Linked DNA regions of Lytechinus pictus. The protein of the gene in region 1 interacts with the protein of each later gene in a biochemical or structural test. Links are inferred from orthologs where the notes say so. Each region holds a gene or a part of one and is shown on either strand. Other genes may lie near its edges.

Evidence for each region.
Region 2: the proteins of peroxisomal targeting signal 1 receptor-like (region 1) and D-aspartate oxidase-like form a complex in vitro, tested with the Homo sapiens proteins (2 studies listed by BioGRID, with this or other methods). The link is inferred for Lytechinus pictus from reciprocal best matches to the Homo sapiens genes PEX5 and DDO.
Region 3: the proteins of peroxisomal targeting signal 1 receptor-like (region 1) and peroxisome assembly protein 12-A-like form a complex in vitro, tested with the Homo sapiens proteins (2 studies listed by BioGRID). The link is inferred for Lytechinus pictus from reciprocal best matches to the Homo sapiens genes PEX5 and PEX12.
Region 4: the proteins of peroxisomal targeting signal 1 receptor-like (region 1) and peroxisomal membrane protein PEX13-like form a complex in vitro, tested with the Homo sapiens proteins (3 studies listed by BioGRID). The link is inferred for Lytechinus pictus from reciprocal best matches to the Homo sapiens genes PEX5 and PEX13.

What each region holds. Positions count from the first base shown.
Region 1 is NC_087258.1:5,595,036-5,602,815, reverse strand, and holds the start of peroxisomal targeting signal 1 receptor-like, read left to right. Parts: upstream 1-4,267; 5' UTR 4,268-4,360; intron 4,361-4,576; exon of another isoform or gene 4,577-4,879; intron 4,880-5,837; 5' UTR 5,838-5,857; coding exon 5,858-6,031; intron 6,032-6,732; coding exon 6,733-6,859; intron 6,860-7,780.
Region 2 is NC_087251.1:43,917,612-43,925,534, forward strand, and holds the start of D-aspartate oxidase-like, read right to left. Parts: upstream 3,529-7,923; 5' UTR 3,338-3,528; coding exon 3,123-3,337; intron 2,207-3,122; coding exon 2,086-2,206; intron 1,485-2,085; coding exon 1,399-1,484; intron 143-1,398; coding exon 77-142; intron 1-76. UniProt on the Homo sapiens protein: Selectively catalyzes the oxidative deamination of acidic amino acids. Suppresses the level of D-aspartate in the brain, an amino acid that can act as an agonist for glutamate receptors. Protects the organism from the toxicity of D-amino acids.
Region 3 is NC_087246.1:9,741,243-9,748,693, reverse strand, and holds the start of peroxisome assembly protein 12-A-like, read right to left. Parts: upstream 3,461-7,451; 5' UTR 3,234-3,460; coding exon of another isoform or gene 3,116-3,233; 5' UTR 3,110-3,115; exon of another isoform or gene 2,706-3,109; intron 1,240-2,705; 5' UTR 1,165-1,239; coding exon 1,042-1,164; intron 1-1,041. Other genes in the region: DNA repair protein RAD51 homolog 3-like, read left to right, coding at 3,116-3,233, 7,053-7,241. UniProt on the Homo sapiens protein: Component of a retrotranslocation channel required for peroxisome organization by mediating export of the PEX5 receptor from peroxisomes to the cytosol, thereby promoting PEX5 recycling.
Region 4 is NC_087261.1:4,569,041-4,576,934, forward strand, and holds the start of peroxisomal membrane protein PEX13-like, read left to right. Parts: upstream 1-4,782; 5' UTR 4,783-4,877; coding exon 4,878-4,957; intron 4,958-7,894. UniProt on the Homo sapiens protein: Component of the PEX13-PEX14 docking complex, a translocon channel that specifically mediates the import of peroxisomal cargo proteins bound to PEX5 receptor.

The DNA.
Region 1 (7,780 bases):
TATATATATATTTAATGTTTAATGTTTAATGTCACATCAATATAATTACTTATAAAATTTGCAATGAATTTGTCTGAATTGAGTGATTGGGTCATTACATATTTGGTAGGTAGACTTTGGTTAGATAGTTTAGATAAATTAGATCCAATTCCAAAAAGATATGATTAATTGCCTTTCCAAAAGATGTGAACATGGGCCCGTAACACAAAACTTAGCAATGATCGTAGAACATTTTCTACGATTAATTCCATTGACTACAATGTACAATCAATTGTAAAAATTGAGTGTACGATTAATCGCTAACCTTTGTGTTACGGGACCCAGGATTCGAACCTCGAACAGTCGACTGCACTTCCCCACAGTCATACCTGGGATTAAGGCACATGCCACATCATAAAGTTACTAACGTTTTAAAACAAAAGAAAATAGCTTTTTCATCATTGGGACAAATATTCACAGATTTATGACATGCAAAGCGTTCCCGGATGGTTTGCACGTACAGATGCTTATCTTTATTTCCTACCTTTAACATGCACTTGTCACCCTTTTACTTGTTAGATCTTTCTCCTTTTTATCCAGATCGGTTTTTTTTGGGGGGGATGCTGGTCCTTTCTTTTAGAATGATACAAAAGTTTTAATTGGTTCGTGTGTTATGCTACAGTCACACAGATGAAACGGAATCCTGATCGATAAACGTTATTACTATTGGTCGGTTTGGAGTCGGTTTTATTGGTGTGATTGTAGCGTTAAAAAGCTCACACGACCGACATGATAATCGTTGAATCACTGCAACAACAATAATAATTACACGAGGGAGGAGAATTATAGGAGTTCATCAAGGTTTATCACTCAACGGTGTTATTCAGCAGTAAATCAGTTTTGTGGACTGTTTGTTTGTGAAGATGTTTTTCGAAAAATGGGTCAGCCGGATTCTGACGATCTAGAGAGATGGATAGGTCTGGAAAGGGAGAGTAAGAAAGAGGTTGCAGGAGAGTGCCCTGGGAAAGATTTTTTTGGCTGGGGGTGCTGAAGTAAGCCTAAATTCAGGGGCGGATCCAGCTTTTGCCAATAGGGGGAGGCATTAGCGTACCTAAGGGGGGGGGGCGGCAGACTGCCCCCCTGACGAGTCACAACACTTGCAAGGAACGTATCCCTGCCCCCCTGATGAGTTAGTCCCTGACTGGTGCTAAATAAATGTCCTTTACTTGTGGTTGAAGACCTTTTTTTTTTGCTTGTCAATTTTTTTTCTGGTGCGAAATGTCCTTTACTTGCGGGTGAAGACTTTTTTTTTTTGCTTGTCAAATTTTTTGGCGGACGAATTTGCCCCCCCCCCCTTTGGAAAATCCTAGGTACGCCACTGGGGGAGGGCTAAAAAAATCACCCATATTTTCCTCGATCTGCCGCTCAAAATCGACTTTTGTTTGTTTCTTTGAAGTGGTATTCGTAACAGTCACTTCTTATAAAACAATTTGTTTTGGGGAAATTTAATGTATTTTGTCCTGAAAATTGAACATTCTTGGAAATTTTTGTAATCCCGAACAAGATGCGTATGTAACTGATCGAAAAAATGACCTGTTAAGGACTGTTTGTAGTTAGCCATAAAGACAATACATATTTCAACTGTGAAATAAAGCGAGTGCGAAGCGCGAGCTGAAAATCTTTGACATTTCGACCTAAAAAATGAACATTCTAAGCAGTTTTTGTAATCATGAACAGGATAGGTATATAACTAAACAATGCGAGCGGAAAAAGTTTAGACCTTCAAACGGGTCACTCTATTCATGATGTTTTGTAAATCATGAAAAGGATGGGTAATTGGGTATCATACACTAATAATGTGAGCAGAAGTTTTTTGATAAGGTCTATTCTAACATGAAACTGGATAATTCAAGCATGTTTTAAATAAAGAACAAGCTGCGTATCTCAATAAACATGCGTGCGTGTGTTTAAGATTTATACCTAGTATCTGGGCATTCTAAATATATTTTTTATCATCAAAATCAATAATGCGAGCGCGAAGCGCGAAGCGCGAGCTGAAAATATTTGATATTCCGATCTGAAAATGGTCTTTAAGCACTAATTCAAGCACAGTAAGAAAACTGTGAAGTGGATAATTATGGATCGCACTAAATAAATGATGCGAGCGCTGAGCGTAAGCTATATTTTCATTATCATTTTGACCTAGGACCGGAACATTCTGAGGACATATTGTCATCATATGAAAATGATGACTGTCTTCCCTTTTCTCTACCTTAGCGCAAGATATTCCATTCTGAAAGAAGGACAATTTGATTATTAGGAATTCATGAAATTTTTTATTTTGTTTATTAATCTAATAAGCCTAATGACAGCTCGATATTTGTTGATATTAAGGCCTAAAAACTGGACATTTCAAGCACTTTTTAATTATGAATAGGGTGCATGTAGAGCAGGGGCGTCGATCCATTTTTCAGATTGGGGTGGCAAAATCATGACTCAACTTTTCAAAGGCGCTCGATCACACAAAACAAACAAACTCACCTACACACAAACACACACACATAGGCATGTATATATATATACATATATATATATATATATGTTTATATATATATATATACATACATATATATGACTCGTGAGAAAGAGACACATATCTCACCAACAAATTAATGCGAGCGCGAAGCGCGAGCTGAATTTTTTTAGTATACTGAACTGAAAACAGGAAAAAGGTACCCGTTTAGGATTGTTTGTAGTAAATCATGAGGAGGATCTTACTACACAGATAATGCGCGTGCCGAGAGCGAGCTGAATTTTTTTTTATATTCTGACCTGAAAGCTTGATATTCTAAGCATTTTGGTACGATTAAGATTGGTGTCTCAAATAACAATAGATACGAGCGCGAAACGCAAGCTGAAAAATTTGATATTTCGATCTGAAAAAATTGACAGTTTAATGGACGTTTTTGATAAAAAAAACAAGATATATATACCCAACAAAAGATTATTGCAAATCGAAGCGGGGGTTCTTTTGAGGTTTAGAACTGAAAACGGGACATTCTGTTCACCTATTTAATCATGAAAAGTATGGGTTTTTGCTACAGAAATGATGCGAGCGCGAAGCGCGAGCTGAAAAGCAGACATTTTGAGCACGATTTTAAATAAGGAACGAGTTGTGTATTTCAATCTTGCTTGCTGATTTCTGTGTAACATTACACTCTTATTTTATTTTTGCACATGAGGAATTATTGGGGGGGGGGGGCAAAACAATATATGTTTGCCCCCCAATATTTTCATTGGTGGGGCGATCGCCCCCCTACCCCCCCCCCCCCCAGGATCGACGCCTCTGAAGTAGAGTTATACATTACTTACCAATCAAAATGTGAGCGCGCAACGCTGGCTGATAGGTTTTGACAATCAAACCTGAAAATATATTTTTGAGAACTTTATGGAAAACACGAAGAGATAAGGTACTTTACAAATCAAATAATGCAAGCGCTGCGCGTGAGCTCAAAATGTTGATACATATGGTAGATACTGAAAATCAAACAAAATAATGAAAGCTCAATGTCGGAGCTGAAATACTTCAAAACTTGATATTTTAAGCTCCATATCAGCCTATCAGCAAGAATGTTATTATTTCATCAAACATCATGCAGTGCGATCGAGAGATCGAAAATTTTATAGTGCCTGATTATTTTATATTTATGTTGTTTTATAATAAAGAAGTGGACTGCACCTGCAAAAAAAAATCAATTTCGAGCGGCTGATCGGAAAATATTGGGTGAAAATAATTTCGGGCCTAATCCCCTACTGGCGCGAAAACTGGATCTGCCCCTGTGGTTGTCGCCATCCCAGCCCCCCCCCCCCCTCATTAAAAAGCAATGTCCCCCCAGGAAAAAAAAAGCTAGCTACGCCACTGTATATTATGGGCCACGCATCGGGATAAATATTCTAGACAGGGCCCTGATCGGCCCTGAACCCTTCGGGCCGCAGCGACGTACACCCCTTCTCGATCTATTTTTGTTTTATTTTTAAAACAATTAGTGCACACCGAGTTACCAATATTGCATATACGGTAGCATTTCCATTTATTTGAAAGCAGGATAAAAGAGCATTGTATATTAAATGCCTTGCTCACGGGCATAGGTGCCGCGGCCGGGGATCGAACCCCGGACTTTCCATGTACAGCCAGGCTCCTTAGACCACTCGGCCACGGCCACGGCACCTCCCTTCTCGATCTACAATGTATGGCCGCGGCGCCCGATCCGATCCGGATCCGACATCCATTCGGCAATTGCGTAACGGAGACTTGGATTAACTTTTGATGAAACTCAGAGGACAGCCTTCGGCTTCGTCACATTATTCCTATCATTTATCGGTAAGCAATCCGTAGCTTTTTTTTAACGTGGATTAACAATTTCGAGGTTTTTGACGTCGACTTTTTTGTCTGACCGACCTGGCTTGATCATGTTGATCATTGATGCAAGACGGATTTTTGCGTATTATGGCGTAGCCGTAGAATCTTCAATCTAGGCCTATCTATGTAGCTGCACTATTGTCCCACACGAATATATCGGTGTCTGTAATGTAAGTTAGTTGTGTGAGTGGTATGGTGATGTGAGTGTGACCTAATTCGCGCGTAACCTAATTTTGCGCACGGTCAAATATCTCATTATCTAATTAGTATCTTGAAAAACTGATATCACCAACAGAAAGAGCGACCCAAAATTACTTAGTATGGTAATTTTTTTTAAGGTAAGGTCTCAAATTGTGAAAATATTGGCAAAACATCAGCAAATTTTGTTTATTGTTACCTTTTGCGTCCGTTCCGAGAAAATCTGATATTCTCGACAAGCATCAAGAAATCGCCAGTTTGCAAGCAGAGGTCTCCAAATAAGTAAGTAAAATGTGATACCAACCGAATTTATGGCATTTTAACCTCCATCTGATATAATTTAATTATCTTATCTTTGTCTGCTTTATTTCTTTTCTAAAGCTTTGCAAAACGATCGTGTGCAAATTAAGGTCACACCTTTTTATGACACTTTTCAGCCGAGCGCGCACTAGTCGATCGCCATGGAATTTTGAGAACACTATATGAGCGAAACCATGGACTTACATTATAATTCCGTCAAGTGAATTTGACTTTGGGATCATGCCTTCCATTTGGTATTTGGATTTGGATTAATTTTGTGTGACAGTGTGAGAAATTTTTGATTGAAAATCAAATGATAATTGTTAAAATGTGCGCAAATTATGGTCACCCCATCATACCTGGTAGTGGTATGTAGGTAGCCTAGGGCCTGGAGGCTTCTGGAGAGTAAAAAAGTATCAACTGTACGTAGGCTACCTCGAGCGAAGTTCGTGCAGGCTCCACTTCACTACCGCTACACTACGGTCTACGCTTCACCTACCCGAACTTCGAGACCGTGAACTCGATCTGATATTCCGAGTGACAAAGGTGGGATTTTATGGGGGGAAATATAAAATTCATGCAACATCACGATCTTTAAAAACAAATAAAACTAATATTCGTACTTTACACAAAGTTTCACTTCTTTTCCATGCTTCTATCAGTCTCAAAATTGGTGATTTAGAGCCAACATGAAGTTCCTCACACGTATAAATAATTTGCTGCCGATTTCAAAACCTGAACTTTTTAGAATCAAAATCTATTATTTTGAATGGATTTTTATATAATTTTAGAAAAAAAAATTGCCATATCCCCTTTCATTTTCTTTCTATTCTTCATTTTCTTGTTTGTGGAGCTTTTTTTTTTTGGGGGGGGGCGGACCTCAAAATCCTCCATCTATACACCAGTGATGAATAGTAATTCATTGTACTTTCCTCCACAGTAAGAAACTCATCTGTCAACATGGCAATGAGAGATCTTGTTGACGGGGAATGTGGTACGGCCAACCCCTTGATGCGTTTAACGTCTCACTTCACCCAAGACAAGTCTCTGCATCAGGAGGGTCTCCAGCATCTCCCAGGGCCAGGTGGGTTTGTGCAGGAGGCAAGACCCTTCCTTGAAGCTCCTGACCAAGAGGTAAGTGGCTATTCACACCTGGGTCCCAGGGGGAAAAAATACACAGGCAGGGGGTGATTTTGCCCTGAAATGCTCAAAAAGCACCCTGGAAATTCCCCATTTATTGCAATGTTAAAGCTTATTAGCCAATGTTACAGATTTAGGGGATAAGTTGTGAAAAGTAGCCCCAGAAAATAAAGATTTAATTATTTTGCTGGCACTGGATCATGTTCCATAAATACTTTTTGTAATAATGAAAACTAATATCAGCCAATCAAATTGAATGATTTTGGTTGTTCCGAAATTTATAACAACTTTATGAAACGGCCGTGGACTTAAAAAGCAGTGCATGCTGATGTATTTATACAGTACAATACCATTATCTACATGTATTTTATGTCAACCTTCCTAGGTATTAAAATTGATAGGTATAAGTTGTATTTTTTAATTTTGAGTGCACACATGTGCATTGAAATGGTTTTGCAAATTGTATTTCTAAAAATTATTTCATAGCCCTCACCTGTTTTACATGTACATCCACTGTGGATGAACTTTGTCTAACCTTTCCTCTATTTTGCATAAGGGCTTTAAAGAAGTGTGAAAAAAGGAGAGAGAAAAAAACATCGACTACAACCCCCCCCCCCCCCCTCCAGAAAACCAATGCTAATGGTCCTTCTGTCAAACACTAATTCTAATATAAAATCTTCATATTTGATGTTCAGTTGGTCAATGAGTTCCTGTCTGATCAGCATCGCCATGCCGGTCCACCTCAGACGTTCCGTATGGATGCCCTTCTTCAAGAAATGCAGGAGATTGAAGGCTTGCATCACCGCCAAGCCCTAGCCCAAGGTATGAATGGGTGACCTGATAGTTGATCATGCAAGACTTTTCTTGTCTGAATGATCCATTTTGTTGATACATGTAGTTCTAATCTGGGCATAAGGTTCATTTGAACAATGAATTGAAAATTAAGAAAATATGTCCTGTCTGAATGAATCATGTCATATACCCTTTTTACACACGCTAAAATTTCCTTAACCCCGTACTATAGGTGGGGCTAAATTGCCATTTAGCCCCACCTATAGTACGGGGTTAAGCTTAGCCCACTTTCTTTTTACACAGCATTTTTGCAAAGTGGGCTAACCCCACCTTTAGTACGGGATTATTTGGCCCTGCAAAAAAGCAGGGTTATCCCAGCAATTGCGGTGCTAAGAGCGATAGTACGGGGTTAAGATCGCTAGTGTAAAACGAAAGTGGGCTAAGCTTAACCCCGTACTATAGGTGGGGCTAAATGGCAATTTGGCCCCACCTATAGTACGGGGTTAAGGAAATTGTAGCGTGTGTAAAATGGTACGAGTGAAGTACTTGTACTACGAATGATCGACAAAAACCACTAGTCCGGGGTTAGCGAGTTTCGTGTGTGAAAAGCAAGCATTCCTTATCCGGGGTTAGCAATAACAATTTGGCATGTGTAAAAAGGAAAAAAAATAGTACGGGGTTAAGGATAGTACGGGGTTAGCGATAGTCCGGGGTTAAGAAAATCCTGTGTAAAAAGGGTAATAGATATAATCTGAGTATGTGCAGATCAGGGTTACATTTATTTAACAATAACTTGAAAATAAGAAAACTTGTCCTGTCTGAATGGCCAGTTCATAGATGACATCTGAGCATGTGGAAATATGGGTCATTTTAAGACTAACTTGAATATAAGGAAAACTTATCCTGTCTGAATGAGCCAGTTTATGGATAAAATCTGAGCCTTTGTAGAAA
Region 2 (7,923 bases), on another chromosome or scaffold:
TACCAGTAGTCTTTTCTAATGTAAAAAAAAATCATAAGCCTATATAATGAAGTAGAGATGAAGAGTTGTAAATTACCGTTTCATGAGATAAGGGAGATAGATCGGGCAATTGGTTATCATTGTCATGTAGAAATATCCATCCCTGTCAATGACAAAAACAAAAGAAATAGATTACTGAAAGGTTCATATGCATTAATGAGCAGTTTCACTTAGTGTGGTGGCTTAGTTGGTAGAGTGTCCGTCTCACAACCGGGAGTTCAAACCCCGGCCGCGTCAGACCGAAAGACGTTAAAAGATGGGAGTTGCTACTACCCTGTTTGGCGTTCAACAATACAAGGGATAGAGCTACGTCAATCTGGCGCTGCACAGTGGCTGCCGGCTGGGGCCCACAATTAATTGGGCAAAACATATTTTCGAAGGATTTCCATTTCTTTTTCGAACATTAAAATATGGATTTTCATAATTGACAGCAAGGTATGATATATTTTCAACAGAAATTTTCAACTCACTTTGAAAATGAAATTACAAATTTATAATCAATATGTTCCATGAAAATAATTCATAAGAACTGAGAAGTTAGCACAAGAAGATAGTTAAGGTGACATAAATGTATATGTTAGGTGCAATAATTTAGAGACAGTGATTTTCCATTTCAAAAAATGGTTGTCTTCAGTTTCTGAAATCTGTAATTCTGTTTCGACTTGATCTAAAAATTGAAATTCTGTTTTGTCACTGAAAATGTACACAGCAAAAACCTGAATTCCATTTTTGCAAAGGTGAATTCCATGAATTTTTACATGAAAAGTGTAAGAACCAAACAGAATTTCTGTTTTATTTACCGGTAAAATTGAAAATCACTGTCCCTAGATATAGATAACATTGAAAACATTAGGCCTATAATCTAAAGGGGAAAACAAACAAGTCTTTGAAAAGTTTCTAGGCACTGGCAGATCCAGGGGAGGGGGGGGGGGGGGTTGGCAAAGCCAGCCAGTGCCCCCCCCCCCTTTTGAGAGGCACAATTAAAATTTGTAATGTAAAAATGCCGTTATAACACCAGTTATCAATGTCAGTGGTGGAATAGATTTTGTCAAAGCAAGCTAAATTTCTGAGCTATATACCAGAAATTACATTACAATTAAATTTGATGAACATCATTTATAAGCTGAATTGTGTCCTTTTCCCCAGGCTTAAATGGCAGGGTAAACTATCTTAATTATCACTCCCAAACAGTTTTGAATGGATTGAGCCCGGGATTGAGCACCAAATGTGCGGTCAAATTGAATTCATACTGAGATTTTTGACGCAATGACAATTTATTGGCTATCCATATAGTTAACCACAACTTTAGACCAGAGTTGAAATGACACCCAAGTTCCGAATACGGGCCCAAGAACTTACTTGAATGTCGAAGCAAAGAGTTGTTTGATTTCTTTTTGAGGAACTCTTCTGTATCCTATAACATCATCCTTCCACCATGGCTCCTCCTGTATTCAAATAATAAATTCAACAAGACACAACACACCAGAATAATGATGTGCACATAACATAAAATAAAAATCATCAAGGTACTATTTCATAATTTTTTTTTTTAAGTGACTGGTTTTCACTGACTTATTTATTCTCAGCCAATTAGATACCAGGATTTCAGTAGCTTATAACATGGGGAGGACCAGATGAAGCAACACCTTTTGGTCTGCCAACTCCTACCAGACCCACACACACTGCCCATAGATCTGGAGCCCGTCTTAGAAGGAGTCGTCTAAAATCTAAAAATCTAAAATAATAATAATAATGGAAGTTCCCCGTACACCATGCATAATATTGCCCCAAAAGTGTGGTTCAAAACATCCACTGAGAACTCATCCTACCAAAAGATCTTCTTAATGATTTATGGTATTAGACTTCTGAGATGTGAAATTTTCCATTATAAATATCTTGGTATGTATCAATATTGAATAACTATTTAGTCTTAAAGCTCTGCTAATTCATGTCTGACCAAAAGTTTGTGTAAAACATTTATCAAATTATATTTCTTTCACCTCTTTTCAGTGAAAAAAAAAAAATTTCCGAAACATGAAGACTTACTTCTTCTTTGATCATCTCTGGATACAAACGGTAACCGGGGATGAACTCTATTCCAATTTTGGATGCTTCCGAACTCAATGCCAAAGGAATGCTATGATCCCAAGTTTCCTTGCCCCATTTCCTGGAAAGCATGAATAAATCATTATGTCATCTTCATTTAGATCACTCTGCACAAGTCCAGGAATAAGAGATTTATTGGATATATTGTATTGCAATAGAACTCTTTGGAAAAACGTGATCACATATCATATTCTTTGAAAACAAAACCTTTGTTTAAACTCAAATTACCATTAATATACATGTATGATAGATAAAGTGAATGCAAAATAGATGTAAATACATACTTGAACTTGTGGAACTGTGAAACTTTGACAGGATCAGGGAGAAAATGACAATTAGTTTCACAAGCATAAAACATTTTAAAAATGTCACAGCTGTTTCCAGAAGCACTTTCCCGTAAAAATAAATTCAGACAAGCAATTAAATCAATTTATTTCAGAGGGCACTGAGCCCCCAAGCTACCCTAAACTCACTGCTTTGGCCTAAAGTATAAGGTCCATAATAATGTCAATGGTGGATGAGGAGAGTGGAGGAAGAAGAGGAAGAAGAGGGGGAGGGGAGGAGGGGAATTGGGGAGAGGGGAGCAAAAGGGCCCATAAGGGGATCCGAGATCATTGGCGGTGGAAGCCAAAAATTTTAGGGGGGACCACCAAAATTTTTTGACAAGCAAAAAAAAAAAAAAGGTTATCTTATGTAGGGGGGACGCTGGAAAAAGCAAAAAAAAAAAAAAAGGTTATCAACAAAAAGTTGAGGGGGACATGTCCCCCCCCCCCCCCCCCCGCTTCCACCGCCTATGTCCAAGATACATGTAGGTGCTTGAGGGGGAGAATGAGGAAAGTGGCATTTTTTAAGCTCATAAGACGATGTAAACACCATCTTATTATTGCTTTATTTAGTTTAGGAATGAATACTCTAGTAGTAGTACTACTACTACTAGTATTTATGCTACAATATTAAGTTTGACTTTGAGAACATACCGAAGAACATGCATGGGTGTGCCGTTGAGGGGGACTTCCCGGGGATTCCACAAGCCACCAGATACGCTTGATGCCATATGCTCCTCAAAATGTTCTGCTATCAATGTAACCTCAACATTTGGGATAGTTTCAATGATATTGACAGCCGACGAAAGCCCTATAACGCCAGCGCCGACAACGACCACTCTCTTCGTTCTACCCTTTTCCGCTGCCATGCTGAACACTAGTAGACCTATTAAACGTATTAAAATACAATTTGCAATAACGCCTCCATCAGTAGGTAGCAGTTGACACTAGCACTCACTGTACATGTGTACTCGCAATGAATGAGGTCAAAGCAAAACAGTACAGTATATATCAGCACTGCACTGCAGTGCGGTGCGGTAGTGGTGGTGAGAGATCGAGTGAGATTAAACCCGGGAGATAAATTGGTTATATATTCTGTATATACGAGCGAAATGCGAATCCATATATGGCCTGCTCGAGGTCAACTATATATTGATTATCTGGCACAGTGGCGTACCTGGGATTTTTCACAGGGGGGGGGGGGGAACCGTCCGCCAAAAAAATTGACAAGCAAAAAAAAAAAAAAGAAAGGTCTTCAATCACAAATGAAGGATTTCGTAACCAGAAAAAAAATTGACAAGCCAAAAAAAAAAAAAAAAGGGTCTTCAAGCTCGTCAAGGGGGGGGGGGGGGGGGGCAGGGATACGTCCTTTGCATGGGTTGTGGCTCGTCAGGGTGGGGCAGACTGCCCCCTCTGCCCCCCCCCCCCCGTAGGTACGCTATCTGGCACAATTTATTGCACGTAAAAAACAAGACACACTTGAACCATATTTATTTCAAGACACTGCTTTATTAGCTCGCGGCATAATGGTTCACCCTGGGCCCTTATTTGATTTTAGATTTAGATTTAGATTTTATTCATTTTCCGTTCACAAAGCACAACAAAATCAAAGTAACAATACATAGTCAAATTTAAAGTACAATATCAATCGGAATATACGTAAGAATTAGAAGGTATAAACGATGAGAACTAATGAGAACTAAAGTAACTTTGACTAAGGCTATACATGTATAAAACAGAACGGAGGGGCTTGCCAAGAAAAGCAAAGCTTGTTTGGGAGGCAAGCCCCTGTATAACTTAGTTTCAATACGTAACTTAGAGACAACATTACAAAACTATAGTATAAAGGAGAGACGGAAGACAGTTTAAAAGGAGGCTATACAAAATATCAAAGGTAACAACGAAAGAGTGACACAAATTGGAATAAATGATAATAGTAATAATTAAAAAAAAAATAGAAAAAAAAATATGGTTACAATAATTGTGATAATGAGGGAGAAACAGAGAGGCAAATGTAGGGAGAGAGGAGGGGTGCAGGTACAATTGGAGGTGCAAACAGGGGCATGGCAGGTGCGGGAACAGGTCGGCAGGCAAGTTTAAAGGAGGTTAAAAAAGAAGTTTTTTTTTGTAGTTTTTGTTGTAGTTTTAGTTATATGGTAGATTGACTTGTTTGTGTAAAGTATTGGCAAATAAGCATCTTTTTAAGGTTATGTTAAATGTTAAATTATGTTTAAAAATAGTGATGCTTGGGGATTCCTTGAAGTCGTTGGGCAAGAAATTCCAATATACGGGACCAGAAAAGACAAAAGAATTTTTTGCAAGTAAAGTTCGGGTTGGAGGTAGGTGATAAAAGTTTCGTTGTCTTGTAGGATAATCGTGTACAGAAGAGTTTTTGCAGAACATAATTGAAAAAATTGCTGGGAGATCATCTTTATTTAGTTTGTACATAAATTGGCCGAGTTGGAACAGATATATATCATTAACTTTAAGGATTTTGTTTTCAAAAAATAATTCATCTGTGTGAAATCTGAAATGTGTATGAATTATTATCTTAAGTGCTTTTTCTGTAACAAAAGTATCCTATGTAATTGCGTTTGAATTGCACAACCCCATGCCAAAATACAGTAATTGATGTATGGTAATATTAAGGTGTGATATAGTGTAAGTAGTGTACGAGATGGAAGAAAAAATTTGAGCTTGTTGATAATTCCAATATTTCTTTAAATTGTTTTGCATATATTGTCGATGTGTGGTTTCCATGATAATTTATTATCAATAAGTACACCCAAAATTTTTGTTTCAGAAACATTTTCAAGGACAGTGTTATCAAAAATGATATTGTCGGGCAAACTGTTTATTCTATTACTAAATAACATATAATTGGTCTTTTGTAAGTTAAGGGAGAGTTTATTTGCCTTGATCCATTCAGTCACATGCATGAGTTCAGAGTTAACAATCCTAATAAGTTGGTTTATGTTATCATGAGAAAAGAAAATGTTGGAATCATCAGCAAAGAGTATGAATGAAAGTAAATTTGAAGTTTTGTGGATGTCATTTATGTAAGTGATAAAAAGAAGAGGGCCGAGTAAGCTACCCTGTGGTACCCCGCAAGTAATTGGAAGGTTGGATGAATTATGGTTATTTATTGATACAAACTGAGTCCTATCTGTAAGGTATAGCTCCTGAACCACTCCAAGGCCATCCCCCTAATACCGTAATGAGATAGTTTATGCAAGAGAATTCCGTGGTTAATGGTGTCGAAGGCTTTGGAGAAGTCCAGGAAAATACCGACAGTATGACAACCTTTATCAGTGGAAATAGTGATTTTGTTAACGAAAAATAAAATTGCATGCGAGGTGCTGTGATTTTCGCGAAACCCAAATTGAAAGTCCGAAAAGATATTGCTTCTTTTAAAGAACGTACTAGTCAACTGCGTAGCCAGGATTTAATTTTGGAGGGGGCGGTAAGTGCACGCGAAGCGTGCCAACACTTACAGAGCGCGCGAAGCGCGCTCCCTAGGGGGGAGGGTGCAGGGAGGGGGAGTTTCCCCCTTTTTCCCCCTCCCGTGCGGAGCGCGAAGTTTTAGATATCTCATCAAATTTCAATCAAAATAAGATGTCTCCTGCGTCCCTAATACCCTTATCAACACAAATTCAATTGACTTGCTGTGATTAAAAACAAAACTTGTTTTCAAAAGAAAAGATGAGCGCCTACAAAATGGGAAAAGATTTAGGAATTCAAAATAATTCCTCTACCGCGCTAAGCGCGAAAGCTAAGACGTTTTATTTTTTTTTTAATGAGAACAAAAGTGATATAAAATACCAACCTTAGTCACATCAGATTTGATTGTAAAAACTTTAGCCACATTAAATTTCTTTAACTCGCAAAACAGACTGTAGAAAGCTAATACATGCAGGGATCTCTTCCCGCGAATGGCAAGTTCTGAATTGTATAAATTTCTCTGAAACTTTAACCTGCTCTAATTTTGATATAGCATTTGGGGACTCGGGGAGGGACGGTATAAAAGTTTACCCGCTCTGAACAGAAGAGCCGAAATTTTGTGTCTTAAAAAAATACTTTTCATACTATCCATGTATACTTTATAATTTCTGGCAAGAATGCGAGTCCCATGGCCGGGGAAGGGGAAAAACGGAGTAGAAAAAAGGTGTGGGAAACAAAGGGGAAAGGCAATTCTGATATTTTTCCCGCGCGGAGCGCGGAAGCAAAATTTTGTATGAAGAGAGAAACGAACATCACATTTAGGTTTTTATATTTTTGACATGTTTGACAAAAAAGAAAGAAAAAACCAATAAAGCTATGCCCTTCTTCCCTTCGCTTTTTCTTTTTCTCCCTTTTCCCCTGTTTTTTTTCTTTTTGGGGGCGTTTGGGGGGGGGGGGGGCGACCGCCCCCACCGCCCCCCCTGGCTACGTGCCTGGTACTAGTTCGTGTATGGACAAGTTTTTCAAGAATTTTTGATAACGAGGTGAGCAATGATATGGGACGGTAATTGGAGACGAGCTGATTATCTCCTTTTTTAAAAAGAGGGACTACTTTTGCGATTTTCATAAGATTGGTACCCTTCCTGTATTCAAAGAAATATTAAAAATATGCACCAAAGGATCGACGATAACCAAGATAATTTTCTCAAGTAGGAAGTTGGAAATACCGTCAAACCTCGGGCACTTTTTGGTCAGCAGACTATTAACAATATTTATAATTTCTCTTGAGCTTGTGGGATTAAAAAATATGGAGTTTGGGTTAGGGTTTTCGAGAAAATTGTTGTAAGATTTATTCGTTTGAGGGATTTTGCTTGCTAAATTGTTGCCAACTTGTGAAAAATATGGATTAAACTCTCTTGCTATTATGTTGTTGTCATCAGTGATGGTATTGTTTGATTGTATTTTTGTAATTGTAGAACTCTTCTTCTTTTTGTTTAACGCACCATTGATGATTTTCCATGTGTTCTTCATATCATTTTTGTTTAGATCGAGTTGAGAAGTGTAATATTCTTTTTTCGCAATACGAAGTAAAGATGTAAGAGTGTTTTTATATGAAGTGTACTTGTAGCGACTTGAAGCGAGATGTATCACTTGGTTTAGTTATGTATTTATAATATAGGTTGTTCTTGCGCTTGATGGATCTTAAGAGTGATTTAGTAATCCAAGGGTGGATAGGGATCTTTTTATGATTTGATCTTCTGTTAGTTGTAAGGGGAACATGGGTATCTAGAGAAGAGGTAAGTATGGTAATAAAACAGTTGTATGCGTCGTCGGCGTCCGAGGAGTCATATACAGTAGACCAGTCTGTTGTGTCTAAATTATTAGTCAAATTGGTTATGTTGTCGTCAGTTATCTTTCGAAATGCAGGATTAAATGTTTCTTTATTGACACTTTTATTCGTAGATAATTTAGCAAAATTTGGAAAGTGATCAGAGATGCCATTAAGAATAATACC
Region 3 (7,451 bases), on another chromosome or scaffold:
ACAGAATTGAAATTGATGAAGAAATGACAGAGAAGCACTTTTTGGTGATTTATGAATAAAATTTGTATGAATTAGCATAAATAATTATCTAGTCAAAATTTCTAGAATCTGTGTAGAACCTTGGTGAACCTCATGTAGCTCTCAGATGGAACAAAAAAATCAGTCAACAACTAAATAAGCAGCATTTTTTGTGAGTTTTGAAAAATATGCATAAATTAGCATATTTAATTAATTTAAAAATTCTGTGTAGAAATTTTGTATCCCCACCTAGAGCTATCATATAAAGGAAACAAAATTAAAATTGATCAACAAATGAAGGAGAAAGGGCATTTTTTGTGATTTATGAATAAATGTTGCATAAATTAGCATAAATAATTTTCTAGTCAAAATTTCAAAATTCTGTGTGGAAGTTTGGTAACCCTCATGTAGCTCTACCAGATGGATGAAAAAAAAAATCGAAGTTGGTCATCAAATAAAGACGAAGAAGCATTTTATGTGAATTTTTAAAAATATGCATAAATTAATTTTGCATAAATTAGCATAAAATTTTTTCTAGCCAAATTTTGTGTAGAAGTTTTGTGAACCTCATGAAGATCTACCAGAAGGAAGCAAAAAACTCAAAATCGGTCAATAAATAAAGAAGGAACAGCATTTTTTGTGAATTTTGAAAAATGTGCATGAATTAGCATATTTAATGAGTTTCAAAATTCTGTGTAAAAGTTTTGAATCCCCACCTAGTGCTATCATAATAAAGCAATCAGAATTGAGATCGGACTTTAAATGAAGAAGCAGAATTTGGAAATTGTGGACGGACAACAGACGACGGACGCCACGCCAATTCAATCCCTCAATTGCAAATTTGTAAATAAGACTAATGATTGATTTAAAAAAAGAAAAAAATTCTTCTAGAAGTTCTATGCAATGTCTCCAAAGTCTAGGTTCTTTGAGAGCCAACAATATTGTGCAGTAGTAGAACAATATTCTAGGATGCTGTTGAATTCTTTAAAATGATGTTTTCATGAAGAGTACCCTTTGACTTACCTTTAAGAAGTAGGACAGAGCAGGTCTCAAAGTAACCATTAGGCTCTCTTGGGCAAGAACCTCAAAGAATGATGGTCGATTGTCAGTGGTTGCTGAAGTAAGATGAGCTCCGAACTCTGCCATTGTGATTTAGAATTTGCACACATCAGATTGCAGAATAGCAGTATCTCAGTTTCTTCTCCAGGTAGCCAAAGTTTCCTTTAACAATAAAAAAGATCGATTTCTAAAACAGATTGACTGCTGAAATTAGACATTTGCTCACTATTGAGCAAAACAAGCCATGGAACGATGAGTGAAATTCTTCAAGTTGTAAATAGTCAAGTACAGTAGATCGAACTTAGAAAAAAGGTCAATAATAATCTGGAGAAAAAATAGACTACTAATAAGAAATATAATATCATTTTGTTTGGAAAAAGTTATAAAAATACCTGTCAGCTATCATTATTTAGTGTTATTAAACAACCTTTTACCACTGAATTCCAGTGTGCAATCTCGTCATAATCTAAGTTTTTCAAGTACATGGTATTGAAATTCATCCAAACGTGCAGCAAAATGTATATACATGCACAAATTGCTTAGTTCTGAACTCGTCCATATCACAAATACATATCTAACGTTAACTCGGGACTACCTGTTACTAGATCTACTACACAAGCTACCATGACTATACAGCAAAGACAGAGTTGCATCCCTTTTGCTGGTATTTCTCAGCTGAGCGAGACATGGACATGCAAGATATCCACTATCAATGGAAGTTAAGTTCGATCTACTTTAATGTTAGATGTAGAAAAATTAGAAATCCCCTTAAGGCTTGAGGGGGGGGGCAATGGGGACTAATGTCCCTCACACTGTGTACGAGTACGTAGCTAGCCGTCTACCGCGTCTGGGCTGTGAAGGAGAAGAAATTTAAAAATATATGTTTAAACACTCCAATTACTTACGTTACGGCCCACCCATCCAACAACTGAATGTAAGTTTTATTGTTTATCCTTGGTTTTAGGGACATAAGTTATTTGTAGATCTACACAAAAGTGCTTGCTACCTTCAAACTGATCCAAATTCAAAGCATACTAGACTCTGTTAGGGATCAAATCTAGGAATTAGATCAATAAAATTGTACTTGATTAAACAATAGTTAGTATCTGCACTATTTCATTCATAGACCTTATTTTTAATTTAGTTGCCCATAAATTTGAATTATCCAAAGTTCCCCTTATCGAACTGCTTATCATATTTATTTCACAAAGCAAAACTGACATATTGTATGTAGGCCTATGAGAGAAGCCGAAATTCGAGATCAAGCGGAAATCATTACCAAAGATAACCTCAATAATTTAATTCGTGTAAATTCTTTCTTTTTTTTTTGAGTATTTTTTTAGTTTTTACTTTTATCTTATTTAAAGGCCTAATCCAGAATTACTTAATGTCGACCGTCATCGCCTCAGCTTCACTCACACCTAATGCGTTGCTACAACGTTAGTGCGATTAACTTTAAGTTTAACGTTTTTTAATTTTAGACTGATGATTGATACCGTACTGAATATGTCCCCTGCCCTGTTGCGGAGGAGTTTTTTATTTTTAACAAAATTTTCTGATTTTTTTTTGACGGAGTGGAGCCTGATGAAGTCTCAGCTCAGCAGAGCACATCCCAGAAAGAAATAGACCTTTTTATATGGGTCTACCTCAGACTCGGCTCCACTCCTAACGTTAGTACCAAGTCAGACCAAGTCCAATGAGGTCCAAACATTAACATGCTCGGCTCCATTCATTCTAGGCCAAGTTCAAGCTTCAGCAGCATGCAACCAGGCAGTATACCAGGCCCAGGGGCAGGGCCCCGGCGCGCCTTAGTCTTCTTTATCTTCTGAATATTGATGCGTTTGGATGTTACTGTTAATGTTATAAGAAGACCCCACAGAGGCTTAGACTTAGCCACGTACGGACGGACAGCAGCCCGATCGACCGACCGGCCGCGCCGCCCGGCCATCAGCCCGGCGCGATCATCACGCGACTGCCGACATTGGAAACATGCGCGGGGAATTCAATTTGATATCCTGTTTTTACAATTTACCTCACGATGCAGCGTGACATAAATAGCTTTCCTATACCTCCATCCTTCAGACTGAAGCTGAACAATGCGGGATTTAGTTCTACTTCTGATATCTTGGAGCTGAAACCATCAGAACTCAGCAAGGGTAAGCAAGCAGCGACATATCCTGTTTTTATCCAGCAAAAGTTTCGTTTGTAGTCCCATATATTTACAATTATGTTAGTTGGTTTCTCCCTAGAACTTAGAAGCCATATCATATGCCAGCATCCATATCGGCCATCTGAGTCTGACTCCGAATATTTGTAACTTACTAGTAGTTTATAAATTTGTGTGAATCACTGCTGGCATAAATCGTGGCCCGGCTTCGTGGGGGGGGGGGGGGTGGGCCGTAAAGATTTTGGGAGGGGATACTGTATATCCTTCAGTTTCAGGGGGGGGGGGGTGGAGTTACTGCGGCAGCCCGAACACGTAGAGTAACATTAATAATACATTCTCCCACTTTTCAAGAATTTTTTTTTCTTTTTTAGTTTTATTTTTCTTCATCCTAATGCCAATATTATAATGCCTTCTAAGTGCTAAAATTTACCTAATTTTGCATTCTAAAAAAGTAAAAGTGCAAAATTTCTTGCACAGTTGCTCCGCTCCTAACTTAGTGCTCATGACGAATCTTAGTTTTCTTACAAATTAGGCCATAAAAAGCAGATATCTTCTAAGTTCTAGTAGTAGTACACCAGACCAGAGCTCTGAATTTTCAGGGTTAGGCTCTATTGATCAATTATGTAATTGATTATATTTTTTGAGTAATTGCAATTTGTAATTGAAATTTTTAAAGGGAAAGTAATTGTAATTGAAAAATTGTAATTGACTTCAATTACTGGATTTGAATAAAGAAAGAAAAATCCAACAAGCATAACACTGAAAATTTCATCAAAATCGGATGTAAAATAAGAAAGTTCTGACATTTTAAAGGTTCTCTTAATTTCACAAAACAGTTATATATGCACATCCTGGTCGGTATGCAAATGAGGAGACTGATGATGTCATCCACTCACTATTTCTTTTGTATTTTATTATATGAGATATGAAATATTCTAATTTTCTATTGTCAAATGAAACAGTGATTAATTCCTCCCTGAACATGTGGAATTAGCTTTGCAGTTTAATGCTACATGTATATGGTTCAGTCAAGTCGGTCTTTATATGGTCAAATCTGTAAAAAATGAAATAAAAGAAATAGTGAGTGATGGACATCATCAACTGACTCATTTGCATGACACTGTTTTGTGAAAAATATGCGAAACTTTAAGTTGCCATAACTTTCTTATTTTACATCCGATTGTGGTGAAATTTTTAGTGTTATGCTAGTTTTTTTCTCTACTTATTCAAATCAATATTTTGCTGGGGTGGACTTGACCTTTAATCTCTTGCATGCAAATATATCCTTTCCCATGCAGTGGCGTAGCTAGGATTTTTTTCCTGGGGGGGCACTGGGGGGTCCTTGCTTTTTCAGGAGGGGCACCATTTTTTAGGTGTGTGTGTATGTGTCACAAAGGCGGATCCGACTTTCGCCAATAGGGGACGGTGCCCGAAATTATCTTCACCTATATTTTCCCGATCAGTCACTTCTTAGTTTTATTCTTATAAAACAACATTAACATGAAATAATCTCATAAGCCTTATAAAAAGTGCGAGCGCGAAGCGCGAGCGATTTTTTTTTACTTTCATGTATTTTGTCCTGAAAATTTAATATTCTGGGCAATGTTATGTGTGATCCTGAACAAGATTCGTATGTAACTAGATGGTTACTGCGAACGCCAAGCGCGAGCAGAAATTTTTATTAACTGTTCTAGCATTATCGAAAAGGGACCTGTTAAGGACTGCTTACAGTTACCCACGAAGACGGTATATATTTCAATAATGCGAGCGTGAAAATTCCGACCTAAAAATGGTCATTCTAAGCACTTTTTGTATTAATAAATGGGATAGGTATGTAACTAAACAATTGATGCGAGCGCGAAGCGCGAGAGGTAGAAAATTGAGATCTCAGACCTAAAAGCGGGACACTCTAGTCATATTTTGTAAATCATAAATAGGATATAGTTAATTGGGTATCATTAATAATGCGATCATGAAGCGTGAGCAGACAATTATTGATATTCTGATGTGAAACTGGATAATTTAAGTACATTCTAAATAAAGAACATGCAGGCTATCGCGCATGTTTTAGATTTAGACCTAGAATCTGAGCATTCTGAATACATTTGTTTTATGGAACATTATGGAATACACCTAGACAATATGAACTTGGCAAATCAAACAATGTGACCACGCAGCGTGAGCTTAAAATGCTGATATGTAGACCATAAAAACGGACATTTTACAGAGCACTTAAATTTGTAAATGAAAACAAAAATATGAAAGCTCGATGTCCGAGCTAAAATATGTTTTGTACATAGACTTCAAAACTTGCTCCATATCAGCCTATTGAGCAAGATATGAATCTCATCGAACAGGCAATTCTGGCGCGAAGCGCAAGCAAACATTTTATATGGTAACATGAAAGATTTTTTTTTTGCAAGTCTTCCCCTCACATTATTTCATTCACTCGTCTTCCTCCTCTTATTTTCCTCTTCTGTCTTTCTTCTTTTTTTTCTTTTCTCCTTTCTCCCTTTTTTTTTGCTCTGCCAATTTTTTTCAGGGGGGGCACCTGGGGGGGCACACCAAATCTCAGGGGGGGCACGTGCCCCCCCATGCCCCCCCGTAGCTACGCCACTGTTCCCATGATGTGGAGCCAGAGGAAAGAGGATACATTGCTATAACAAGTGCACAAATTGAACATCTGAAATATTTGGGACAAATTTGCAAAACAAAATAGGTTCTAACACGGAATCAAACTATGTAATTTTTTATACTAGCAAAATTACATTTCGTATAAACTCATGTAGTGGCCTGATTTTGTTAGTAAGAAAACGTAAGATGTTTACTAAAATCTTTAGAATTAAGTTGGGAATACCTCCTCAAAAAGTGAGTTTTTAGTGGATGAAAATATTTTTCCTGCCCCCTATAGTTGAAAGCTGGATCAGCCCTTGATGAACGAGGTCACAACTCTCAATTCAAGTTTACATTCATGTTGTACATCATGATTTCTACAAATGAAACTAAAGCATGCAGATCTGCATATTATTGAGAATGTCAGTTGACTTTAGCATTGAAGGGAGTGATAGGCAGGATCAATGCTCTCTAAGCTAATAATCATTCATTTTGTCAGTTTCTCTCAAACATAGAATTAAGTTGAAATGGATGACACTACATACAAAATATAAATTGATTTCATGAAAGTAATTGAAATTGTAATTGACAAAAGTAATTGTAATTGAAAAAAAAATTAATTTAATTGAAAAGTAATTGTAATTTAACATTTCTTCAATTACCTAATTGTAATTGTAATTGAGCCCAACCCTGACTCTGATGATAGGATGCATATTTAAATTTCAATTAGGTTTTTGATATATCCCTGTCAGTATACAGTACGAGAGACAAGTACCGAACGCACATCATTGTTTTTTTTTTTTTTACCATTGTACTCGCTGCTGTGTATTTATCATTGCAGGTGACAGCTTTGTACTCTTTCAGATAGATTTTGTAAGCTACAAAAAGTAATTAGTGCACACAACTCAGAAGAGAGAAGACAAAATTTGACATCAGTAAATGAACTGGTGACTTAAAGCAGGATAATTCCAACATTTTTGGATTTAGTATAAATTAAGTTAATGTAGAATGTGGTCAGTGACAATTACAAATCTTGTCTTTGTCAATAAAATTGATTCTTAATGGCATATTTTTGTGGTTTTATATCATTCTCAAAGTCAAGTATCAACTTAATAATTCTCTTTTTTTTCTTCTAGTATTATATTGTGTAGATGTAATTGTCATAGTTTTTTTCTTTAACCTAACACCTTTTCAGAGATAAATATTTCTAAAGAGGATGCTCTGGAGCTGATCAAGACATTTAAGTCGGGAGCAATTAATCCTGTGCTGCACGAGAAATCAGAGAAAGATCTTGAAGACGAGGAGCTATTAAAAGGGATATCATCAGGCTCTGAATGTTCAGGACTAAAATCCAACAAACTTCCCGTTACTGGCTCAATATCAGGTGCTTAAAATAACATGGTGCATCATGTTTTTATCAGAGTACTGGGTTTAACATTTCCAGTGAAACAGCATGATTTCCAATTCACAAATAATATTTATGTTTTTAATCATGCCTTTATTATTTAGATTTATTTCATTCATTTATTTATTTTCTAATCAAGCCATTTGTCTCAGTCTCTTTATCATTCAATTAATACAAGTTTGTATCCTT
Region 4 (7,894 bases), on another chromosome or scaffold:
ACCAAATTTTTTTGACAAGCAAAAAAAAAAAAAAAGTTATCAACAAGAAATTTAGGGGGGATCGTCCCCCCACCTCAAATTTAGGGGGGGACGTCCCCCCCCCGCTTCTGCTGCCTATGCATGTGATGTATGGAAGACAGGCAGCAGAATGGTTTTGAAGGGGGGGGGAGGAGGGGTGGGGCTGACCATGATAGAAAGTCACGATCAGACGGTAATTTCATGTTTATGGAAGAGATGCTCTCATAATTATGTCACAATATTAAAAAAATTTAATAATTCTGTTTTTAAAATTTTCATCAAACCTTCAATTTTTTTATTGTGCTGCTGCATAAGACAGAATTTCGATATTGGGAAGTCTAAAATGTAATCATTTTTTCTGTATGAAATTATTCCATTTCTTTTAATATGGGGGGGGGGGGGGGTGCTCGTGAATTGATCGACAAGATTTCAGAGCCAGGGGCCCGATTCATAAAGGACTTGGAACTGTTGTAACTTTGCCATTATGGCAACCACCATGGAAACCTTGATTATGATTGGCTGCTGAGCCCTAGTTACCATGGTAGTTGCCATTATGGGATTTGGGGTGGCACGCTAGGGTCGGACAGGGTTAGGGAGGGGAAGGGAATTAAAGAAATATAGATAGGGAGAGAAAGAGAGTGAGAAACAGGTAGAAAGTAAGAATTAAGGGAGGGGGGATGCAAGCAGAGGAAAGACAGAGAGGGAGAGAGAAAGAGGGGGGGGGGGTCTAGAGCTAGCGGTAGCAGCTAGCTAGAGGGCCATTCTCCGAAAAGGGGCACCAAAGGACATTTTCGTGTCTCCAACTTTCTCTAGGCTATAAACCATAATTTAATTCATCAGGAAACCAATTTTTTGAATTTTATTTATACTACAGAATATGTTGAGTAGAATTAAAATCAACCGAGGTCACCCCACCTCATGAAAAAATTATATACGACAGCACAAAACATATATGTGCTCATTTTACCCATGTCTCCAGCGACCTGTGTGATTATATTTCATACTCCCGCTCTTTACCGTAATATCCGAACTTCATGTTTTGTCCACTAATTTATAATGCCTTCGGTGCCTAAATAAAAAAGCATATTGCTTAGCGAAAAAACTTTTGTATATTTTTTCCTGCGGTCTTAGCGAAGGTGTCTCCAAATCGGGATAAGATACGTTACTTTTTGTATGATACCCTAAAAAGAACGAAGACAATAATGCAGTGATCTGTATTTCGGTGTAGTGAATAAGTCCATTTCAAGGCTATATAAATACAAATAGTGTATACTGAATCTCTATAATAATGAATATATTCAGACACAAAGTTTTCAATTGTGTATGTTACCATAAGGTAAAATAAGATACGTTACTGAAACTTTGCTCTATTACAGAAAAATAACTTGGTTAACAAAGTTATAATGTATTTTGTTTTAGAGCACTCTACATTGCTTATGGTAATACATGGGAGTTATGAAAGAAAAGGTTGTTATTTTGTGAAAACACAAGGTTGATCCTAAAGGCCGTCAAATACGTTACCGTCAAATACGTTACCGCATTGCGCGTTGATAGGCCCATTCGCGCATTCTCTAATTTTGCACATGCTTTTAGCGCTTCTTCACCCTTCAAAGCATTGAGCGTTACGTGCTGAGAGTCTGAGGGAGATGTAAGGCTTCTCGCCGTTTGTTATTCATCCCAGCTACGTGGTTGGTAAGAATTTTCATTTTTTGAATATTGACAGAATATAGTTCATTTATCTGTTTGAGTACTATGATACATTTGAGAGTTATTTGAAGTTGATGGAACAGTTACATATAGGCTTAAGACATCTAACACGTATGCATGCGATTGTTTAGTGTGTGTGATAGCTCGCATGAACATTAGAATGTTACCAGATAGGCACGGTAACGTATCTTACCCGACTGGTAACGTATCTTATTAGATATTAATGTCATGTTTTTACGTACACGACGACTAACTATTTTATATTTATTTGTTATTAATTATAAAATAATGTACATATAAAAATCCCATGCTGATATTTTTCCTCTCTGTCTGTCTCTCGTTTATTTCAGAGAAAAAAAAGACATGGGTAAAACGCGTGCTGAGATCCGGAAAGTCAGAGAGAAAATCTGAGTTAACCATCGAACAGTTGACACTAATCGAAGATTTGGCCAAAAAATATAAAGAAGCACAAATTAAGTAAAAGGATCAATATTAGAATTTGCAGGTGACAAATATTTGGACAGCATTACTTGTATTTATGCACTTTCCATATCCTCCCATTTTTCGAACAATTTACAAAGAAAAGGAATCCTTTCCCTGTGATGCAAGAATGATGAAAATGGCATATTTTAATAAAAAAGGAAAATAATGACGTTATTAATTTTTTTTCGGAAAACATTTCTTTTTTTATGAGCAAGTTAATGATGTAATTCCCTTACAATTTTCTTCACATTTAATTTACAGAAATCCTTTAAAAAATCCATTTATCAAATATGATACAGTAAAGTTTTCCTATTCAACTAACCCCAAATTAAAACAAAATGAATGAGAGATGCTATTTGTTCTTAAATATTTGTTCTGACATATCTTAAAGGGGTATGGTTGCCTCAATGCTGGCAAAAACAATCCAAAATGTCATTTAAACGTGACAAATTATGAGGGGATGACATTAACAACTTGCTCATTAGAATATGTTTTCTGAAAATGTGAAATTTTGAAATATAATATTTTCCTTACTTGCTGTCGGTTGTTATCCGGTTTGTATTATCCTTCTTAAATCATGCTAATCATTTTTTTACCCGGCTTTTTGCTTTAATACGTGCCACATCATGTACAAGCGGCAACATAATGTTAATTGTCAACTGATATGTGGAAGGAGAATATTTCGATTCCGTAGTCTAGTTGTTTTGTCTTGGCTCTCTGAATGTACAAAAATATGAAAAAGTAGAATCCGTCAATATAGTGTAAGCTTTAATGTACCGAAATATTTGAGTGGATGATGAATCAGATGTGCTACAAAGACATTTTAATTACTTGAGAGTTGTGTCTGCTACGTTACCACCACTATCTACCGTATAGCTCCTTGGCTCTCTTTAAATTTTAAAAACAAATTTTATGACAGAACATGTGGAAACACATTAATTTATACAAATCTTTTTATAACTATTCAGCGTGATTAATTGTTAAGAATGAGATCTTTTATACAATTTAAGAAGGTTCTTTTTTTAGGAGCAGAGCCGAAACACCAAGTATAGCCCAAGTGAAATAACATTGTACTTATAAGTTTAAATTATCAACAGTCAAATACGTTACCCTACGTTGCAGTTATATATTCGTCTAAACACTCGGATGTAATCAAATTTATCATGTTTTTCCAAACTGCATGATGTTACATATTTCATTAAAAGTTAACAAAGCTACATAATAGACTGTACACATTAGAAATCAAAAGCTTTGGTCATATATTTGAAACAGTATTATAATTATGTCTTAGGTTAATTTTGTCTGTGTTTGTTTATCGATGCATAATTTTATTTACTGAACTATGTCAAGGTGATCATCATAAATAATCATTATGTTCGAGGTGGATATAACATTTTGATGTAAGACAAAATGCAAGAGTGAGTTTACGCATGTTACTATTATAAGTCACAGTAACAACATTTTGTAGTATAGATGTCTGTAAGATACGTTACCATATTGACATATTACAGTTATATATTTGCCTTGCACTCGCAGGTAATAAATTTGATGATATTGTTCCATCTTAATAGTGTTAGATATCTTATCAATGAGTTTATAGAAGGAAATGGACTAAGTACGTTGTGCACTTTAAATCAAAAGTTTAGCTCATACATTTCAAACAGAACATAATTATGTAATTGCGTCACAGTAACAATATTTTGTAGTATAGATGTCTGTAAGATACGTTACCATATTGACATATTACAGTTATATATTTGCATGCACGTATATATGCTATAGATGAATACATGACTTTGCATTACTGAGTAGTGTTTTTTAATCGGGATTATAAATCTGAATGTTCGTAGTTGATAATTCGTTTGGATGTAAAATATATTGCACGATTGAGTTTATCGTTATCTTGAGATATAAACCACAGTAAACGAAATTTTGTGGAAGTATGTCAGATACGTTACCAATTTTCTCTTTTCTTGTAATTCAGAATGTATAAAATCTGTAGTAAAGTGTGCTTACAATGAAATTTCTTTAATAATTTCAGTATTTATGTATGATTTTTATTAATGTTTCAAAGCAATATAAGATCAAATTGTATTAGAGATATGAATTGCAATTTAGGTAATGTATTTTATCTGAAAATATACTATTTTTTTCGGGCTGATTTTGACTTACAGACTTATAACATTTATCATTTTGATACATCTCGACCAATCAAATGTCAAGAATTACTTTTTAATCATGTGTGTATATTAGTTACGTTTACTTTGAAATATTTACTGATACTATTGGTCCACAAATGATACATCCACAGCGATTTTTCTTGTCTAAGGCCTAATGGTAACGTATCTGACGGGTGGTAAAAACTATGTAAAAAGGTGTTCAAGTTCAATGCTATTTCTTGAAAAATATGTTGGGGTCAAAAATCACCCGTTTGTTGTTATGTGTTCTCGAAGTATTAAAGTTTCTGAATTCAAATGAGTTTAATTAATTTTCGTATGTCAAAATTTGAAAGTTTGTCCAATCCTATTGGTGCACTTTTGTGGAGAATGTACCTAGAGGGGGGGGGGGGGGGGAGATCGAGAGCTAGATATATAAGATCGAGGCCATGACCCGTCGCGTCATGACGTAATACAAATTCTAACTAGCAGATTTTAATAGCAGATTTAGCAATGGCCGCTCCGCCGAAACCATGGGAGAAAAGAGGCTCAATAAATCCTTCTTTAGGATATCCAGCCGACCAAGCAATGCTGTAAGTGGTTCTTTATTTTATTTCACTTTTATAGTATTAATAACAAAGTCTATTTCATGGTCGTTATTGGTCAGAGATGGATTTATGTGGCACCGAAGTGAATTCTCGCTGCAAAGCTCTGTGTAGTCCGATGCGTAGTGATTCATGTATCGAGTGATCAAGGAGTCCTTGACTTGAGTCTGACTCCGCCCATATTAGCCAGGCGGCTTCTTGAGAGTAAAAATAATTTATTAACGTACTACGTAGGCTTACTCTAAACGAAGCCAGGGAGTCCTACCTATTCATCTGCGTGTACCGCAAAAAACCCTGAAACTTTCGCCCCCGAGATTTCTACTTTCCTTCTATTTTGTTCTAAAAGTAAACTAAAACTAAAACTAAAAAAAGATCTAGCTCTGCCTTAACCCAGAGAGCTCCCGCCCACGCAGCGGGCGGGAGCCCAGAAGCTCACCGTGTATTTTACCATTTTCACCGGACTAGGGTGATTTATGGTCTAAATATTTCTCCAAATGAATTGTGAAAACGGAAAGTATACAATTACCACGATTATATGGATGAAGGTCTAACGAGTGGCAGATTCCTGACATCTGGGCACAGTCTGGAACCTCAAAAAAACGAAAAGTTCTCTCCTTCTACCCAGTCTCGATCGGCCATTTTGTTACGATTTTTAACGAAAATGGCCGATCGAGACGGGGTAGAAGGAGAGAACTTTTCGTTTTTTTGGGGTTCCAGACTGTGCCCAGATGTCAGGAATCTGCCACTCGTTAGACCTTCATCCATATAATCGTGGTAATTGTATACTTTCTGTTTTCACAATTCATTTGGAGAAATATTTAGACCATAAATCACCCTAGTCCGGTGACAATGGTAAAATACACGGTAAGCTTCTGGGCTCCCGCCCGCTGTGCGGGCGGGAGCTCTCTGGGTTAGCTCTGCCTCTGAGTCTGATGTACATGGGATAAAACTTCATTTCCGACATTTATACGCTCTCGTTATTTTTAAACAAGAATTCATCAAAAAAATGAGAAAATATTGTGAAAAGACAGAAGAGACTTGCCCGATGTTTACGCCGCCATCTTGTTTCTTATTGTAATTCCCCAACGTTACGGACGCGAGCGTCGCGTCCGTGGATTAAAGTGATCATTTCACTTTGTTCTGATTTAAAAAATTCTCATTTTGGTTCTTGAAAATGGGCTTAACATTAGGCTTATAGTGTAAAAATACCATCCCAAAAGTTTCAAAGTCATGAAAGTATTATATCCACAGGATCAATTTTAAAACCTTAAAGATGTAAACCAAAGTTTGAAAATAATTGGGAGTTGGTTTCAATAACTATGACATGTGTATACAGTGAACCTGTGCACCACAACACACGAACTCTAGATGAACACAGCATGGCCTACATACAGTGTGTACTAGGTATACACTGAATGTTCAGTGCAGCTAATAGCGTGTGTGTGTAAATAGGAGATACACACAACAGAAGGCAGTCAAAATAGCCAACGGACTTTTTGAATTGGAGTAAACTGGTCATAAGCTTAACCTGTCTACTAGACGGTTCTCAAAATCAAGCTAATAAATTGCTACTTGTATCTAAATTAGAGTTTTTCATTCTATATTGTGGTTTGTTTCAGGGTTTTTGGGGACAAATACATGCACTCATACACATGTTTTGTCTCAGTTTGAGAATTTTGTAAATCAGCTGCTCACAAAGTTAAACAATCCCTTTAACCGCACCCCCAACTTTGGACTAAAAAAAAAAAAAAAAAAAAACTAAGTTAAAGATTTCAAAGTATCCAAAGAGATTACCGGTATGCGGAAATCTGCTGTTCTTGATCAATTCATCTACAAATGTTTGCAAGAAAGAAAGGTCCCGACAATATTGGCCACTTACACACTCACTCACCTCACAGTCACAGTGTACACACACACAGCACTGCTGTTCTTGTACATTGCAAACTACGATACGGTACCAGTACATCTTATCAAATAATGATCTGTGTCTTTCCCGCCGTAGGAGGAAGAAATATTCACATTTCTTGCATCACAAACTCACAATCACTTTCAGAATTTGTCTAGCATTCGATGTCTTAGCATGAATTTTGGATACGGGATTACTGGAAGGAAGGTTCAAGAACAAAGAAATTGGCATTTTTTACAGTTGTTTTGACGGCTTCGTGCCGTCTCTCTCGTTGCGTGGTGTACATGCTATCTTATGAAAAGCAAACGGGAAAGAAAAAATAAGCTGGCGCGAAACAGGACTTTAGAGGGGATCGAGGGTTAAAATGAATAGCGCCAGCTTAAGTCGCACTATTACCACAATACAACGCAAGCTAGCTCAGCTAACTCAACTCTCGCGCTCGCTCAGCTGTGACAAAATATTACCGAGTATGCTTGGCTTCTCTTTGAACTTAGCCAGGGAACTTCGCTGCTTTGAACCGAGAATAAAAGTCGAAATGAGTGTTATGAAGGTGGGTGCGTTTAATAATCGCTTCTTATTACCCGTGGCTCATACCCCTCTATCCCGCCGAGAAAAACGTACGGTTAATAGACCGTTACTTACGGTATGTATTGGTGAGTGAGCCAACGCAGTTCAGCGGAACAACCATAATACAGAGACTGAAGCTTTTGGTCTAATTACGAGCATGCATGATTCATTGACCCGTACGTATTCTGAACTCTGGTTTAAATTAAACCCTAGTTTAAAGTTGTATTCTGAACCCGGGTTTAAATTAAACCCTGGTTTAAAGTTGTGGTGTAACTATGGAGAGCTAGTACTAGTTGCAGCACAAATCCCTAACAATTACAATACACATCCAATTTATTAACTCACTCATAATGACATCCATATTGTTCATAATTGTCTGGAAATGATAACTGAACTCTGAAGAGGAGTGAAGTATTTCAAAGTATTATTATGAAAGCAAAGCCAAAAGGAAA